3 linked regions of the Arabidopsis thaliana genome follow. Each later gene encodes a partner of the first gene's protein in a complex. Each region holds a gene or a part of one and is shown in the gene's direction. Other genes may lie near its edges. The genes, in order: VIN3, VRN2 and FIE.

What was found.
Region 2: VIN3 (region 1) and VRN2 share a complex: the UniProt entries of both Arabidopsis thaliana proteins name them as parts of the plant homeodomain / polycomb repressive complex.
Region 3: VIN3 (region 1) and FIE share a complex: the UniProt entries of both Arabidopsis thaliana proteins name them as parts of the plant homeodomain / polycomb repressive complex.

Annotation. Positions count from the first base shown.
Region 1 is NC_003076.8:23,245,824-23,251,337, reverse strand, and holds VIN3 (Fibronectin type III domain-containing protein), read left to right. Parts: upstream 1-1,833; 5' UTR 1,834-2,048; coding exon 2,049-2,063; intron 2,064-2,472; exon of another isoform or gene 2,473-2,523; coding exon 2,524-2,590; intron 2,591-2,869; coding exon 2,870-3,419; intron 3,420-3,506; coding exon 3,507-3,811; intron 3,812-3,874; coding exon 3,875-4,800; 3' UTR 4,801-4,943; downstream 4,944-5,514. UniProt on the Arabidopsis thaliana protein: Plays a central role in vernalization by mediating the initial transcriptional repression of the homeotic gene FLC, a floral repressor, after a cold treatment.
Region 2 is NC_003075.7:9,474,208-9,480,409, forward strand, and holds VRN2 (VEFS-Box of polycomb protein), read left to right. Parts: upstream 1-1,861; 5' UTR 1,862-2,000; intron 2,001-2,333; 5' UTR 2,334-2,500; coding exon 2,501-2,626; exon of another isoform or gene 2,627-2,796; coding exon 2,797-2,852; intron 2,853-3,022; coding exon 3,023-3,090; intron 3,091-3,187; coding exon 3,188-3,240; coding exon of another isoform or gene 3,241-3,262; intron 3,263-3,457; coding exon 3,458-3,511; intron 3,512-3,594; coding exon 3,595-3,654; intron 3,655-3,736; coding exon 3,737-3,780; intron 3,781-3,878; coding exon 3,879-4,009; intron 4,010-4,172; coding exon 4,173-4,359; intron 4,360-4,476; coding exon 4,477-4,525; intron 4,526-4,720; coding exon 4,721-4,804; intron 4,805-4,901; coding exon 4,902-4,981; intron 4,982-5,099; coding exon 5,100-5,189; intron 5,190-5,277; coding exon 5,278-5,518; 3' UTR 5,519-5,671; downstream 5,672-6,202. Other genes in the region: AT4G16835 (Tetratricopeptide repeat (TPR)-like superfamily protein), read left to right, coding at 1-115, 186-596; AT4G16840 (uncharacterized protein), read left to right, coding at 707-953, 1,142-1,158. UniProt on the Arabidopsis thaliana protein: Polycomb group (PcG) protein. Plays a central role in vernalization by maintaining repressed the homeotic gene FLC, a floral repressor, after a cold treatment.
Region 3 is NC_003074.8:7,248,191-7,254,344, reverse strand, and holds FIE (Transducin/WD40 repeat-like superfamily protein), read left to right. Parts: upstream 1-1,892; 5' UTR 1,893-2,090; coding exon 2,091-2,267; intron 2,268-3,110; exon of another isoform or gene 3,111-3,298; coding exon 3,299-3,364; intron 3,365-3,463; coding exon 3,464-3,586; intron 3,587-3,673; coding exon 3,674-3,754; intron 3,755-3,846; coding exon 3,847-3,939; intron 3,940-4,033; coding exon 4,034-4,109; intron 4,110-4,215; coding exon 4,216-4,295; intron 4,296-4,387; coding exon 4,388-4,459; intron 4,460-4,544; coding exon 4,545-4,604; intron 4,605-4,689; coding exon 4,690-4,786; intron 4,787-4,888; coding exon 4,889-4,952; intron 4,953-5,034; coding exon 5,035-5,094; intron 5,095-5,220; coding exon 5,221-5,281; 3' UTR 5,282-5,466; downstream 5,467-6,154. Other genes in the region: AT3G20730 (PPR superfamily protein), read right to left, coding at 5,467-6,154. UniProt on the Arabidopsis thaliana protein: Polycomb group (PcG) protein. PcG proteins act by forming multiprotein complexes, which are required to maintain the transcriptionally repressive state of homeotic genes throughout development.

The DNA of each region.
Region 1 (5,514 bases):
TAAAACACTTTTGAAAAACCATAATTGCATCCATAATGTTTAGTAACTAACATTTAACCTTTTTCATGATTTCCTTTTCGTTCATGTTCTCTTCATGTCCAAGTGTTAGCACATTTCTCTCTTCCAATTGTTTTCAAATGCCACTGCAAGTGAACTTTCTCTAACTTATTTGCTCTAGCGCAGTTTATTTGTTTCTTATACCACGAAGGCCAACGATACAATATTAGAACCTTTCATTGAATATGTTATATATGTTACAAACTTCATATGGATTTTTACGTTTTTACCATGTAATAGCATTGTTCTTCTTCCTCATTTGATGATTTTTTGTTTTTATATCTAAACAATAAATTATGATCTAAACCCTAACTCCAAACACTCTAATTATTCAGTTGGAAAAACTTAGATCGAACATGTCAAAACTAAAAATATGCGGACTTTTAACTGGTTTAGCCCTACCTCCACCACCCCTTCTCACCCTGTCCCGTCTCTTTACATGATAATGCTCATTTTGCACATTTTAGTCAAATCCTCTTTTGATCCACAATACAACTTACTAACCTGAAATAACTTGGGTTAAGATATATCATGTGAATGTTTATGGAATTCTATTACAAAATTAAGTTACAATTATTGCATGTATCTTTGTCATAATCACTCGTTCATGAATTCTAACATAATTTTTAATCGAATGTGGATTCTTAATTTTCTTTTGGCAAAAAGTCACTCGTCCCAAAAGAATTAGTCGAAGAAATTCTTTACATGGGATGCTAATTCAAAAAAAAAACTTTTGGCAAATCGCTTTTTTTGGTATCTGGACCGACCGTCTTCATGGGCAAACTAAAATTGTTAATGGCTATATTAGTACTTGTCTAGTACAAGTTGTATTACTAAACTGTACTATTAAAGTATTTGTAGATGAACTAAATTTTAAAGATGAATTAAGTTTACTTGACTCCGTTTTCTCCACCCAAATTTGAATCCATTAAGCGTTATCCCCTCTAGTAAACTTTCACCTAAAAAATCCATTGACTATAGATCGAGTCTACTCGATTTAAAGATGTCCAAAAAACAAAAAAAGATGAACTAAAGTAATCAGTTATTTAAGAAAATCTTTTACATCAGTTGGTTTAGAAAACATAATTTAATCTAACGGAACTTCTCATTTTCATATGATAATCTATATATAGAATATTAACCTTCTTTTATTGTTAACGTTTTGTGGATTTTGAAAATTTGAACTAATACTAGATGTTTAACTTTGTTAATAAAATACTACTAATCATCACAAATTAACGTAGATGATGCAAAACAAAAATATGTGAAAGTTTTTAAGAGATCTGCATTTTGTAAACTTCACAAAAACTAAAAACCCTTGTCACAAAATCTAAACTCAGAATTCTGAAATTATAAACTAATAACTTTGTTGTTTAAGACTTACTCGAAGTTTGTACACGATAGTTCATACACCATATCAACATTATCATAATCTCTTCTCCCCTCTTCTTATAAAAGAAAAAATAATATTTTCAAAAAAAAAAAAAAAAAACTTGTATATAAACAAACTATTAAATTCAATAAAAAGATTTATAAAATTTATGATAGTAAATAAAAATGATTTTACATATCGTAATATTTCGAACATATAGTAGTGAGTCATAAGCGACATCCTAGAAAAGGTATATACAATAAGTCCAGCATTGGTTACAGGTCAAATCAAAGCATTTGCGTATATAATATCTTCCAAAGCACGTGAAGATATTTCCAACGTTTTTTTTAATATTAAAAAATACACAAAACCAAAATTCTAAAGAACTTTAAAAAAAAAAGCTCTCATCAGAGCAGAAGTTTCATCCATCAGAGGGTTTCCTCCTTAGAAACATCTAGAAAAAACAAAAGGAGAGAGAGAGAGAGAAGAACCATCCATCACAGAAACATCTTTTCCTTTTTCACTAAATCCCCATAAAAGATCTCTAAAATAAACCTAGCAAAAAAAAAAATCAAGAGAAAAAAAACGAAGAACACGAAGAACGACAAACAAAAAAAAAATGCAAGCTGCTTCGGTAAACAGCGTTTTTTTTTTATATAAATATTCTTTGTATGCTGTTTTTTTTTGAAGGCTTCTCATTCGGTGAACAACAACCAATTCTAATTTTGCATATATATTTACTCTCTGAGTATTTGTTTATTTTAATTAAAGAAAATTCTCAATGGTTTGTTCTTAAGACTGAGTCATCCTCGAATCTTTTGTCTAATAGTTACAAATATAGGTTCTTACAAAGTGTATTTCATGGGTTTCTCTTTGGTTGTTTAAAGATTATAACTTCAAAATGAAAATCGATAAAATCTGAATTTTTTTTTCGATCTTGTGTTCTTCATCATCGTAAGTGTTACATCTTTGAGAATTTTTTTTTTGTCTGTACTTAAGTGTTATTGTCAGATTGTTGTGATGGTTTATTTTTTTTGGTTCTTGCTTTAACTTTGACATAATTGAACCTTTTGTGTGAAATCGGATCTCGGCAGCTCTCAAAGATCTGGCGTTTCGATGGTAATGTGGGTCCAGAGAACATGGATTCTTCTTCGTTTGAAGGTACGATATTTTCTCGACGTGAACGTCTCTCTCACTGTTCCTAGTTTCATGCGTTTTAGGTCGTTAACACGACGACGTTTTTACACAATATCAACAAACGTTTTATTTCTCGCATTGGATTCGTCGTCATTGTTGATATTTCGTTTCTGGGTTGTTGAGATTCATTCAAAGTTTTATACTTTTGATCATTTTTACCCCAAAAAGAGTCAGAATCTGTGATCCTCTCCTTTTTATCTTGAGGAGAATCTAGGGCTAAAGGATTGGTCTTTTATGGTGCAGATAATGAATGCATTGAGACTTGTAAACCAAACGTTTTGAATGTAAGTGAAAGGAGAGAATTGATCCACGCATTGTCTAACCAGCCTGAAGAAGCTTCGGAGCTTTTGAATTCATGGAGCAGAAATGAGATCATGAAGATCATATGTGCTGAGATGGGTAAAGAAAGGAAGTACACTGGTCTTAACAAACCAAAGCTCATAGAGAATCTTCTGAATCTTGTGTCTCGTCCTCTTGGAGAGACCTCTTGTTCTGACCGTAGAAACTCGAGGAAGAAGGAGAAGAAGATGATCGGTTACATCATTTGCTGTGAGAATTTAGCTTGTAGAGCTGCGCTTGGATGCGATGATACGTTTTGCAGAAGGTGTTCTTGCTGCATCTGTCAAAAGTTTGATGATAATAAGGATCCTAGTTTATGGCTTACTTGTGATGCTTGTGGATCGTCTTGTCATTTGGAATGTGGTTTGAAGCAAGATAGGTATGGGATTGGGAGTGATGATCTTGATGGTAGGTTTTATTGCGCGTATTGCGGTAAAGATAATGACTTGCTCGGGTAAGGATCTTTAGATATTGAAATCTATGGATATACTACAATGAAAAGAGAATGTAATGTAATGTGTGTGTATGCGAGTGCTTACAGATGCTGGAGAAAACAAGTGAAGGTGGCGAAAGAGACGCGGCGTGTGGATGTACTTTGTTATCGTCTTTCTTTAGGACAGAAGCTGTTGAGAGGTACCACGAAGTATCGGAATCTGTTGGAACTTATGGATGAGGCGGTGAAGAAGCTCGAAGGTGATGTGGGTCCGTTGTCGGGTTGGGCCATGAAGATGGCTCGAGGCATCGTCAATAGACTTTCTTCGGGTGTGCATGTCCAGAAGCTGTGTTCTCAGGCAATGGAAGCTCTGGACAAAGTGGTCTCACCATCAGAATCTGTTTCAGGACAAGGTTAGTGTGTTCATACATTACTTTGGTTTTAAAACCGAAGATGTTGACTTTAGTTCCTGTTAGGTGACAAGATGACCGTGAGAGTAGAAGAGATTCAAGCAAGATCAGTCACTGTGAGAGTAGACTCCGAGGAGCCGTCTTCTTCTACACAAAACAAGATCACAGGTTTCAGGTTGTTTTGTCGAAAGTCGAAGGACGAAGAATGCTCGTCTCAGGGGAATTGTGTTGTTTATCTACCTGAGACGACGTCTGCCATCCAAGGACTTGAACCCGACACCGAGTTCTGTCTCAGAGTGGTTTCCTTTAACGAGGAAGGTGACTTAGATGAGTCTGAGCTTCGGTTCACAACGTTGAAGGATGATGGAGATGAAGCTGGGGACCAGCAAAGCCCTTTGACAAACTCAAGCAGTGGTCTTTGTAGTAATCCATCTTTACCAGAAGATGAATCTAATAATGTCAATAAAAGCTGCAGCAAAGGAAATGGTGACAAGGACAACACTGAACACTGTAGTGCAGGAGAAGTAGAATCTGAGCTTGAAGAAGAGAGGCTTGTAAAGAGGAAAGCAAACAAGATAGATGGAAGAGACTTGCTTGTAACACCCTGCAAGAGAGATATTTATAAAGGAAAGCAAGGAGGGAATAAAAGATTCAAATCAAGAACAGTATCCTTGAACGAGAAACCTGAGATCAATAATGCCGCAAATGGAGTAGGAGATAAAGACTTGGGTCATATTGTTAAGACGATTAGATGTTTAGAGGAAGAAGGACATATAGACAAGAGTTTTAGGGAAAGGTTCTTGACATGGTATAGCTTAAGAGCTACTCACCGAGAAGTAAGAGTTGTGAAGATCTTTGTTGAGACGTTTATGGAGGATCTGTCTTCTTTGGGACAACAGCTTGTGGATACATTCTCAGAAAGTATACTGAGTAAGAGATCATCGACAAATGGTGTAGTACCTGCTGGGATCTGCCTCAAGCTTTGGCATTAAAAGCTTTTGAAATCGGTCTATTTATTAACTCGCTTGATATTGTAAACCATAACGATAATTTTGGAATGAAATTATGTAAGTACGCATTTCCAATTTCTTTCTGATGCTTAGTGAAAAACTCAAAAATGAATAAGCCTGATTTCAAATGAACCATAGTCTGACAGTTAGAGCCGGGAGATTACACACAAACATTAACATTTTTAAATCTCGAAAAAGAAATAACTCACGAGTTGTTTCCAACCAAATTCAGAGAGTACAAGTTTGTTCTCTATAAGACATCAGAACAGAGTCTGGGGAAGAATTGGAGTAACTAGTAACTACTATCTGGGAAATGCAGCTCTAGCCCTCATCTTTTTGACTAGTGTTCAAGACAGCGTTAGAGGGACCTGCAAGATATATTCAAAGGTTGGTGAGCAGAAATCGATCAATGCGAAAACAAAAACTGGATGCAGAGACACGAAAGATTCTAGTTAATAATCAGAAAAACCGAAACTGCTTAATCTCATCAGAGTAAATGATCCAAGGGCAAGTAAATTCTAAATTCAGCTGTTGAGAGTTGAGACCTATTGGTAAATACCAGCACATAGGTGGAATGATCGGTTTTACGCAGTAACTCGCACAACTTGATCTTGTAAGATGCAGATTCAAATGTGCCAAGGCAAGAAAACTAAAAAACACAAGACTGGTTCCATTTCCTCTGGATTAACTAAAATA
Region 2 (6,202 bases), on another chromosome or scaffold:
AAACTCGCAAAATGCAGCCGGGTATGTGCAGCTTGCGAATATCTACGCATCGAAGAATCGTTGGGAAGACGTTGCAAGGGTTCGCAAGAGAATGAAAGAGAGCAATGTTGTGAAGGTAGAGCGAGTCAAAGTTCGATTCTTTATTCGAGTTACAAGACTCTAATGTATTTACTTGACTGTTTCAGGTACCTGGATACAGTTGGATCGAAATACGAAACAAAGTTCACCATTTCAGATCAAGTGATCGGATTCACCCTGAACTAGACTCAATACACAAGAAACTGAAGGAGTTGGAGAAGAAGATGAAACTAGCTGGATACAAACCGGAACTAGAGTTTGCTTTACACAATGTAGAGGAAGAGCAAAAAGAGAAGCTATTGTTATGGCACAGCGAGAAGTTAGCTGTTGCATTTGGTTGCATAAAACTCCCTCAAGGTTCACAGATACAAGTGTTCAAGAACTTGAGAATCTGTGGTGATTGTCATAAAGCAATCAAATTTATCTCGGAGATAGAGAAACGAGAGATCATTGTAAGAGACACCACAAGGTTTCACCATTTCAAAGATGGGTCTTGCTCTTGTGGCGATTACTGGTGAAAAGAGAAGAGCTTTGACTCTCTCATTGGTCAAACCTGACTGTATTTATATGCGTTATTGTGTGGTAAAGTTTCGACCTTTGACTTGACAAGTTGCCGTTAAGAAGAGAGATGCGTAGATCAGCGAGTGGTTCTAGAGTTTTGGATCATTTTCCGGCGACTTCAAGGTCTCCGCCTCGATCTCAGAGTGTTACAGCAATGGAAGATGATGTGGAGCTGCTTTTGCCTAGGTACGATCCGAATTCTCAAGCGGGGAAGAGAGAGAAATCAAGATTCAGATTTTCAGAAAACGTCATCCATTTGATTCCTCTCATTCTTCTTCTCTGTGTCGCAATCCTCTGGCTCTCCTCTTACTCAGGTAAGCCGAGAAATTGTTTCAATCTCTATGAATCCATAATTGATCTGTGAAACTTAATTAGGGATTTTACAAAGACTCATATGGATATGAGGATCGAGATGTCTCTGCAACGTTAGAATCTTGTGTTGAATTATGGTTTCAATTTGTTCATATAATACTAAATCGGTGATGGATTTGGAATTTGTCAGCAGCGTTAAGGAGTTGAGTTCCAAAAGCAACATGTTGTCTTGTCTCCATGGGAACTCATATTCAGTTTTGGGAAAGGAAACAATTCTTTTACCGCCGGTGATTTTGTGCCGCAAACCATTCGTATTTGTAATTTTTGGTTCTGTAGACACACAAAAGGATCTCTCGTTTTCATGAAATGTATGTTTAATATTTCAGTGATATACATCACACAACTCAAGTAGAAAACACTGATGGTTATCCATTAATCATTCTATTGGTCGAAAAAAAGATTAGTTTCAACTTAATGCCACCTTAGGATTATATGTTCCTGTGAGTTTCAGCTAGCCAACTCAACTAGAGTTAAACAATGGAATCAAAATACATATTCAGTAATTTATTTTAAACTCTGACTATTTATGTAAAACACAAATGGAAATCAAAATTGAAGGTCATGAAGATTCTATTCTTAGTGTGAAAAGTATAGATCAATGATTCTTAATTTCTTCATCCTCCACGCATAGATCAATGGTGAATATGGTTTTAAATCCTCTAATACTCACTGTACTGCCATGGTAGAGTTAAAAAAACAATTTTAGAAATATTAGTGGATTAAGGCATTAAGCTGTCCAAGTTGCTTGTATTTTCTTTTCATTTTATTAATTAAAAAAAAAGTTCAACTATTTATTGACTAATAATAATACGTGTTAAATGGTTATCGGTTTAAAATATGGGCCATAGGCCCAGACTTGAAGAAAAACTTGAAACCCAAAGTTTTATTTTTACTTGTTTTCTTTCTCAGTGAATATCTCCCAATCAAGCTTCTTCAATTTTGCTTGCTCTCTCTCTTACACGGCCAATCGGTGTTTTCGCAGCTTTCAGGTTTGTCTCAATCTCAAATTAAATCGGAGTCAAGTAATAACAATTGATAACCCTAATTGTTTCAATTATATTGTAAGATTTGAAATTTTGCAGTAGATCCGGAATCGTATTCTAGTTCTGGAATCGTTGATCTCGATGGAATTTTTTTTAAGATTTCTTCATACACATTTGGTTCAAAAGATCACATAATTTTATTTTAATTTGATAAGTATGATGATTCTGCTAAGTGGCATTGGATAAAGTTTTCATTTTTGCAATACGTCTAAACTTGTCTATGTCTTGAATGAACTCTCTGAGTTGCTTAAAAAGTCTTGTGCTTTCTTTATTACACAGGCCTCAATACAAGACATTCTATATAAGCATATTGCAGAAGAGGCGGTTCTAATTGTTGCATGGAGTTGAACAATATGACGTAGGGAAATTCTAATTTAGGGGAGGCCTCAGAGTTTGCACTAACTTCATAATCAGCTCTGGACGTTGTTGATTGTATTTGAACAAGAATGTGTAGGCAGAATTGTCGCGCGAAATCCTCACCGGAGGAAGTGATTTCAACTGATGAGAATCTCTTGATATATTGTAAACCTGTTCGACTATATAACATCTTTCACCTTCGCTCTCTAGGCAACGTATGATTTGGCCTTCCTCTCTCATCATTTTAGCTTAGTAATCTTTCATCTCCTGTGTAGATCACCCACTAATAGTTTGAGTTTGCTAAGCTGATTATGGTCTGACTCATGGCGAGTGTGTGCTTCTTTTGTCTCCTAATGTTATTTGAACTTGTTGTTTGTTGTTGCAGCCATCGTTTCTGCCAAGATGCTTGAACTACAAAATTGGGGCAAAGCGCAAAAGAAAGTATGCGTTTCTTCTTGAATGTAGTTGCCACAGTGATATGTTATTTATCTTACTTCTAATATGGAAGCTGATGAACTATTTATCTTTGTTGAGTAGATATGGACATAATGAATGGTTTCTTCTTTGTTCATGCTATACACTTATATTTTACAAAATTGTGTTTTGCTTAGGTCAAGATCTACTGGGATGGTAGTTTTCAACTATAAGGATTGTAATAATACATTACAAAGAACTGAAGGTTAGTCTTTTTCTGTTCTTCGACAAAATTCGATGTCAATGTCTATGTTTCTCTAGATGATTTGTTATTTACTATTTTTTTCTGTATTGTCACGCAGTTAGGGAGGATTGTTCTTGTCCATTTTGCTCTATGCTATGTGGTAGCTTCAAGGTGGGCAACTATTACAACTGAGGTTTCTTCCGGGGCCTTTCATATCTAACACTGTGAAATGCTACTGCCGTTTAATGCTATATACTTTCACTGTTTGGTTACATATTTTTGTGTTTGTTGTTTGTCTTCTTGCTCTTTTTAAACTGCTGAGTGTGTGCTTATCTGAGAAAACATGTTCCAGTTCGAGCTTACAATCCATTGTCTTGTGTCTATGCAGGGGCTGCAATTTCATTTGAATTCATCTCATGATTTATTTGAATTTGAGTTCAAGGTATGTGGTTTTATGGAATTTCTTGTTTTGCCTATGCCGTTAGTAATGAGGTTATAGTTAAAAAAGGGTCTTTCCTATTGTAGCTTTTGGAAGAATACCAGACAGTTAATGTTTCTGTAAAACTTAATTCCTTCATATTTGAGGTCAGTTACTTTAAACTTGGTTAATTGGGAAATCCTATAGCTGGTGAAAATTTGGTTTATATTCCATCCTTATTTGTACTAGGAAGAAGGAAGTGATGATGATAAATTTGAGCCCTTCTCTCTCTGGTAACTCTCAGAACCCCTTGATTAAATACCTTAATAGCAGTAACTCCTTGCTTTTCTTGTCAGTACTTCTCTATAAATCCAACCACAATGTTTTGCAGCTCGAAACCTCGTAAGCGTAGACAAAGAGGTGGCAGAAATAACACCAGGAGACTTAAAGTATGCTTTTTACCGTTGGATTCACCCAGTTTAGCTAATGGCACAGAAAATGGAATTGCCCTGCTGAATGATGGTAAAATCACATCTTCTTCTGTGGTATTCGTTGTGGCTTAGAACTTCATTTTACAGAAGAAGATACAATGTCCTGATTGTTTAGTTTTTGTACTTCTCCTCGCATTCTTCTTGTGAGGGTAATGTTACCAGAACTGATGTACAAAATTAATGGCATGCTACAGGAAACCGTGGTTTAGGATATCCCGAGGCAACAGAGCTTGCTGGACAATTTGAGATGACTAGCAACATTCCACCAGCCATAGCCCACTCTTCTCTGGACGCTGGTGCTAAAGTTATATTAACAACCGAAGCTGTGGTCCCTGCTACTAAGACAAGAAAGTTATCTGCTGAGCGATCAGAGGCTAGAAGGTTTGTTCATCATGACACCCCGTCATCATAATTACCATACCTGTTGTTACAAATGTTCTTCCTATTATGGATAAGTGTTTACTGTACTGCCATATTAACCGAGAAAATTTCTTCCAGCCACCTACTTCTTCAGAAACGCCAATTCTATCATTCTCACAGAGTCCAGGTGATCCAAGTTCCTTCACCTACTTCTTAGGCATTTTCTTTAAATTGCTCATGATGATATCTTATCAAAGCATACTTGGTTTGTTCTCATCTAAATTTGTATTTTGATTCTGTATGTATCAACGCAAAAAAATTATGTCCATGTTGTCTCCGTTTTATTGCCACTAACCAAAAACTGCATGTTTCTTGTGACAAGCCAATGGCGCTTGAGCAAGTAATGTCTGATCGGGATAGCGAGGATGAAGTCGATGACGATGTTGCAGATTTTGAAGATCGCCAGGTATTCCATGATTTCTTTCTGCGTTCATTAAGTAGGCAACAGAAAATGGTATACGATGTAACTTGCTAATGGCTTTTGAAACTTAAAAAAGCTGCAGATGCTTGATGACTTTGTGGATGTGAATAAAGATGAAAAGCAATTCATGCATCTTTGGAACTCGTTTGTAAGAAAACAAAGGTAACTACTTCTCTTACACTTGAACACACACAAAAAGACCTTATGTCTTACATTCCATACCTGTCTAAATGATTCTGCTTATGGAACTTTGAGCTCAAATTATGATTGATGTTTGCAGGGTTATAGCAGATGGTCATATCTCTTGGGCATGTGAAGTATTTTCAAGATTTTACGAGAAAGAGTTGCACTGTTACTCATCACTCTTCTGGTAATATAAGTACACCAAACATATACAGACACATAACTACACTATCAATTTTGTTTCGTTTTTCTGAAAGAAAAATAAAAAATTCCAGGTGTTGGAGATTGTTTTTGATTAAACTATGGAACCATGGACTTGTCGACTCAGCCACCATCAACAACTGCAATACCATCCTCGAGAATTGCCGTAATACCTCAGTCACTAACAACAACAACAACAGTGTGGATCATCCCAGTGACTCAAACACCAACAACAATAACATTGTGGATCATCCGAATGACATAAAAAACAAGAACAATGTTGACAACAAGGACAATAACAGCAGAGACAAGTAATTAAATAGGAAACACTCCGGTTTAGATGATACCGATCTATCGGATTGTAACTTATTCTTCTTTCTTAAAAAAATTGTTTAGGAGCAAACAAAGATTTTATTTGTTAGTGTATTCAACTGATTACATTTTTAGTTAAAAAAATGGATTCTCCTTAATAACTAAAGACTGAAAAATAAGATAAGTTTCCTTAATTTTTCTTTTTGACTTGAGAAAAAGCTCCTCTAGACCTCTAGTAAATAGGAGTTATATATTAATCAAGTACATAACATAAAAATATATATATTAAGTGCAAATAGATTGAAAACAAATCAAGAAATTAATTAAGACACAGTGATTAAGCTTAAAACCCCATTTTGACTTGTTCTTTCTCAATGAATCCCTCACAAGCAGCAAGCTTCTTCGATTTTGCTTTGACACCACCAATCAGTGTTTTCGAATCTTTCAGGTTTGTCTCGATTTCAAACTAGATCGGAGTCAAGTGATAAAATTGACTAACATAATTATTCCCGTTCTCTCGTAAGAGTTGGGATTTAGCAGTAGATCGGAAATCGGAATTTACGTTTTTGTTAAAAGATTGATGGTTTAGGTAATAAAACATAGTTCTGGATTCATTGCTTCTAGTTGATTCTCGAATTGTTTGATTTCGCAATGCACATTTTTGGTTCAAAGGATCACATAATTTGC
Region 3 (6,154 bases), on another chromosome or scaffold:
GGCTAGAATTTTCGGTCGGTTTTATACTTTATATAGATGCTAGATTTTTTTCTTCTAGTCATCGTTTATTAGTACAATTTTGTTTTTATATATTGATTACTTGAATTTATAATAGGATTGGTACAAAGGTGGTAATTATAAAGTGCATTTTTTTGGATATTGTTCAATTCAAATATTTTTACTTAGATTCTCAAACTATTGAAAAATATCCAAAATATCCGGAAAATTTCAATTTAATCGAATAAAAAAATTAGAATGGAAAGAATAAAAAATTATCGGGTACAATTAGAAGAGTAATGTGTTTAGTTTGGTTTTTACTCGGATACCAGTTCAGTTTTCACGTATTATTCGATCCTATAGGAGCAATTGTGAATTAGTTGTGAGATTTTGGGAGCATTCGCTTCCAGAACTTAGTGCTAGGAGAAATGCTATTTTCCTATAAGAGTTGTACGAGGAAGCGAGCAAGTACACAACAACCACAAAAGCTTTCAATACTTGTTTACTCCTAGGGTTTAAAACTAGAGGTTCTATAGATCTCTAAATTTTTTTGAACAAATGTGTTTTCCACACGTGATATTCTACAATACCACTCGAAAATTATCCATAATTGCTTTAAACTATTTTTTTGTTTAAATTATATAATTTGTACCGTTGTAAACTGATTATTTCAAATTATAATTAAAGCACTATAATTTCATATATTACATTCAACATATATTAAAATAAACTATAACCATGTATTTTTTTGTCTTCCTTTCCTATAAACATTGATTGGACTCTATCGTAAATTTTGTCGTTATCGCAAATTTTGTCGTTATCGATGAGTTTCTCAAAGTTTGGACCTTGATTATCTTGTTTGGAGATGTTCAAATCGTTATATCCAAATAGTGAACTTCTAATTTTCTTTTTTGATAATGTGACTTATTTGGAAAAGTATTCCAAAGTATTCAAATAAACCCTTTAAAAATCCATTAAATACATTTTAAATAAGTAAAATGCTCTCAACGAAGAGATATCATGGTAAATAACAACAGTGAGAGGATAAAATGTTAAATCAATTTATTTACAACTTCAAATAGGCGGACATCAAACCTACTTAGCACACTTTCTATTTTCAAATTGGTTATGGTTTGTCTATTAGTTGTTGCATCTATGTTTTTTAATTCTTATATCGGTGATCTTGATTTTGTTTTGGTGTATCTAAAATCTATTTTAGTTAAAGTGCAAGAAAATAAAATAAAAACTTAAGGTAAGAGATGAAAGTAAGCTTTAAATAAAACAGAGCACTTCTATGGTCGATTATAGAGCCAAGTTCGTTCCTCCATTTTGGCTTAATGCAATATTACAAGTAAATCTTATAAAACTTTCCATAAGTATCGTATTACCCATGGATACTATGATATATAAACTCTCGGAGGTGTAGTCCAGAAGAAATGATCCATATTTGCATACAGTAAACTTGATGGAAAAAATATGTGGTACTGTTGGAATTGTAGCTATTGAGTATCAAATTTGAGAAAAAGGTAAAAAAATATGTAAAATTTGGGTGGAAGAAAAGAATTACATAAAATTGAGAAATGTATGTAATTGACAAAATAATGTTTTCAAAACATAAAAACGTGATACCATTTAAATCCAAACCTTATATCATTTAACCATTTTTAGTAAAACTAATAGTAATGAATGGTCAATAATATAAGATTACATATTAAATAATTACTACTTTCAGAAAATTTCAATCAAATCTATAATATTCCTTTGAAAAAAAAGAAAGACAAATAGGTAAACTTCGATCGTATCAATCAAAGAATATATTTATTTTTCATCGTAACGTTTAATTCTAAGTCCTATTAAAAAACGTTAAATTTGATTTTTCTTACCATTTTTTTCTAAAAGGTGAGTTGTGTGTTGTGTCAGGTCCAAAATAAAAGTTTGTCGTGAGGTCAAAATCTACGGTTACAGTAATTTTAATAACCTGTGAATCTGTGTCTAATCGAAAATTACAAAACACCAGTTGTTGTTGCATGAGAGACTTGTGAGCTTAGATTAGTGTGCGAGAGTCAGACAGAGAGAGAGATTTCGAATATCGAATGTCGAAGATAACCTTAGGGAACGAGTCAATAGTTGGGTCTTTGACTCCATCGAATAAGAAATCGTACAAAGTGACGAATAGGATTCAGGAAGGGAAGAAACCTTTGTATGCTGTTGTTTTCAACTTCCTTGATGCTCGTTTCTTCGATGTCTTCGTTACCGCTGGTGGAAATCGGGTAAAAGATCTCGACTTTCAATTCGAAATCACTGTTTTCAATTCTGGGTCTGTTTAGGTTTTGATTCAGATTGATTGTAACATTAAGGCCTTTCCTTTTGTGTTTGATTTTGGATTCTGATTTCTAGCCTTTAGTGAGATTAAAAGATTGAAACTTTGCTTGATGCTATAGTCTAAGATTATGTAACATTTAGTTCAAACTTTCTGGTTTTGGAGATTTTGTGGAAGATATGGTTTTTGTTTTCTAATTTAAAGTGAACTCATTACCTTATACACTTGATTTGCATTCTGTTCTAAAAAAAATTGAAACTTTGGTTGATGTTGTTAGTCTGCTTATCTAAGGAGGTTCCTTTTGAAACGGTCATCAAGTGAGTTATGAAGCGTTTAGTTTAAGCTTTCCTGTATTGGAGATTTTGTGGAAGTTATTTTTTTTTCTAATTTTGAAACTAGATAGAGTGAAGTCATTACCTTATACATTAGACTGCTCTATTTTGTTTTCAATGTGGGTTCCGAATGTACCTGATAGTGGCTCTTTAGGCTCATTTGTATTCGTCGAAACATCGATCGGATACCCGTTTGGGCTTAGTAGGCTCTGATACCGCGTAAAGTTCTCGGGTTCCATGAAAAACCAATCGGTAATGAGTGGAGTTAATTTGTAATCGTCTTCGGTCGAGCATTTGGGATTAGTGGGCTTTGATACCATGTGAAAGTCCTTGGGGTCCAATCGGCAATGAGTAGAGTTAACTTGTAATCTTACACACTTGGTTAGGTCTCATTCTCTTTATAATGTTGTGTGCCTAACAGTTTCCGCACTAAGGTTGTTTGGTTGCTCAGTCTCAATATACTTATCTTAACTAGTTGTAGTTTTTTTCATCTTTCCTAGTTTCCGTTGGATTTTAAATTGAATGATTTACTAGTTAGAAATATTTGAGTTTCTCATAGAAGCTTTAACCAAGGGGTTCTTTCATTTAACCTTTACTTAGCTAGTTCATGAATCTCATTACTGCCATTGGTGTATCTCTTATTATGTAGATTACTCTGTACAATTGTCTCGGAGATGGTGCCATATCAGCATTGCAATCCTATGCTGATGAAGATGTAAGGAAGCATACATATTAGCTTTTCCATCAAATTAAAGTAAGTGATGTTTCACTGAGGCCATTTGGTTATATTTTGTCTATGTCCTCTGGAGAGCAGAAGGAAGAGTCGTTTTACACGGTAAGTTGGGCGTGTGGCGTTAATGGGAACCCATATGTTGCGGCTGGAGGAGTAAAAGGTATAATCCGAGTCATTGACGTCAACAGTGAAACGATTCATAAGGTATTATTGCATTTTTATGGATGTTCTATGTATCCTAGCAAATGATTCTATATCTTTCTTGTATAATCTGTGCTCGCAAATGTGCAGAGTCTTGTGGGTCATGGAGATTCAGTGAACGAAATCAGGACACAACCTTTAAAACCTCAACTTGTGATTACTGCTAGCAAGGTATATCTCTTGGCTTTCTTTTCTTCCTAAAGTATCCTGACTTCTTTTTTATTTGTTGGTGATTAAGAGCTGTTACGTTTTAATTGAATAAGGATGAATCTGTTCGTTTGTGGAATGTTGAAACTGGGATATGTATTTTGATATTTGCTGGAGCTGGAGGTCATCGCTATGAAGTTCTAAGTGTGGTGAGCCAATATTGTTTTATCTAATTCAGTTAGTTTTCTACAATAATATATAGAGACAATGTTAAGGGGAACCATCTTATTTTGAAAATTGTAGGATTTTCATCCGTCTGATATTTACCGCTTTGCTAGTTGTGGTATGGACACCACTATTAAAATATGGTCAATGAAAGGTACGATCGAGCACATATTGTAATAAACTTCCATTTTAAAAAACCTTTTGAGAAAAATGGCTTGTGGTTCGTTTGTATGATCTTCTTATTCTTTGGCTGTCTATAGAGTTTTGGACGTACGTCGAGAAGTCATTCACATGGACTGATGATCCATCAAAATTCCCCACAAAATTTGTCCAATTCCCTGTAAGTATTTTGTTTTAGCCTTGTCTTGTAACAACAAGTGACATACAAATATTGGTGATGGCCTTTGTAAATAACATTACTTCTATATGTAGGTATTTACAGCTTCCATTCATACAAATTATGTAGATTGTAACCGTTGGTTTGGTGATTTTATCCTCTCAAAGGTTAGTAAGTCAATGATGGTTAAGATTAATTCATTTGGTGTACTGTTAAAACACTTTACTCTTGTGTTGTTCTATCGGATTTTAGAGTGTGGACAACGAGATCCTGTTGTGGGAACCACAACTGAAAGAGAATTCTCCTGGCGAGGTTAGGATCTCATTGTTGCTCCAAACACAACATAATCATTCATTTCATCACATATATTTACAGTTGAACTTTTTGTGGTTTGCAGGGAGCTTCAGATGTTCTATTAAGATACCCGGTTCCAATGTGTGATATTTGGTTTATCAAGTTTTCTTGTGACCTCCATTTAAGTTCTGTTGCGATAGGTAATCAGAGAGCTCGTTAGATACAAATTTGCATTCTATAGATAGATTACTTCAACTTTTCTTATTCATTTTGTGACAAATTACTCGCTGGTTTGTTATCAGGTAATCAGGAAGGAAAGGTTTATGTCTGGGATTTGAAAAGTTGCCCTCCTGTTTTGATTACAAAGTAAGTTAGTTTCGGATTCAGATACAATGTTTGATCTTTAAGAAATGTTTTAGTCTTGACATGATTTTCTGTTGCCATATAGGTTATCACACAATCAATCAAAGTCTGTAATCAGGCAAACAGCCATGTCTGTCGATGGAAGGTATAAATCCATCTTCTCTCTCACCAATGCAGTGAAAATTTCTTAATGTTATTTATGACTCAATAGTTACTGTAAATCAAACCAAACTTTGGATTCTGACACACTGTTTCTTCCATGGGATTGTAGCACGATTCTTGCTTGCTGCGAGGACGGGACTATATGGCGCTGGGACGTGATTACCAAGTAGCGGTCTGAGTCTTGTAGGAATTGATGAATTAGGAGTGCGAAGAAATGAGATATCCATTCTTTTATTGTAATTCTGATCATGTTGCTACTCCCTGAGACCTTGAGATGCTCTTTGTAGCCTTGTTAACGTCCACCCTTGTACCACAGTGTATACCCTTTCTGGAGATTTTGTCTTATTCTCTTAGTTCAATACACAAGGCTGTATCCTGGAGCTTTATTGCAGGAACCACTCTCTTTCATAAGCTTTCTAGTATTCAAAGCATTGTCCCATGCTCCATTAGCTGCATACACACTGGCCAAATTGATGTAATTGACTGGTTTCCTCGGTTCCATACTCAGAAGCTGCGTGGCTGCTACTTTACTGAGCTGCACATTCCCATGGCGCCTGCATGCATCAAGAAAAGCTCCCCATGTTGATGAGCTAAGACTTACAATACCCTCTTTACTTCTTATCAGTGCATAAGCTTCTTCCAAGTAGCCACTGCGCGCAAGCATATCTATGATGCAAGATAAGTGCTCTTCTCGAGCTTCGATTCCGTGCTTGTTGATCATTGTGTCGTAAATCTTCCAGCCTAGTTCGGTTTGTCCTGTATGACTACAAGCAGAGAGGAGAGAAAGAAATGTAACGTCATTCGGTTTGATCCTTTCATGCTCCATTCTGTTATAAAGATCAATTGCTTTCTCAAAATTCCCATGTCTTCCATATCCTGCAATCAAAGAGGTCCATGATCTCACATCTTTCTCTTTCATCTCTTCGAAAGCCAGGACTGCATCCTCGATTTCCCCAGACTTTGCATACATATCTATCAGCGAATTCCCCAAAGCAACATCGAATCTGATTTGGGAAGATTTTAAGGCAAAACCATGGATCTGT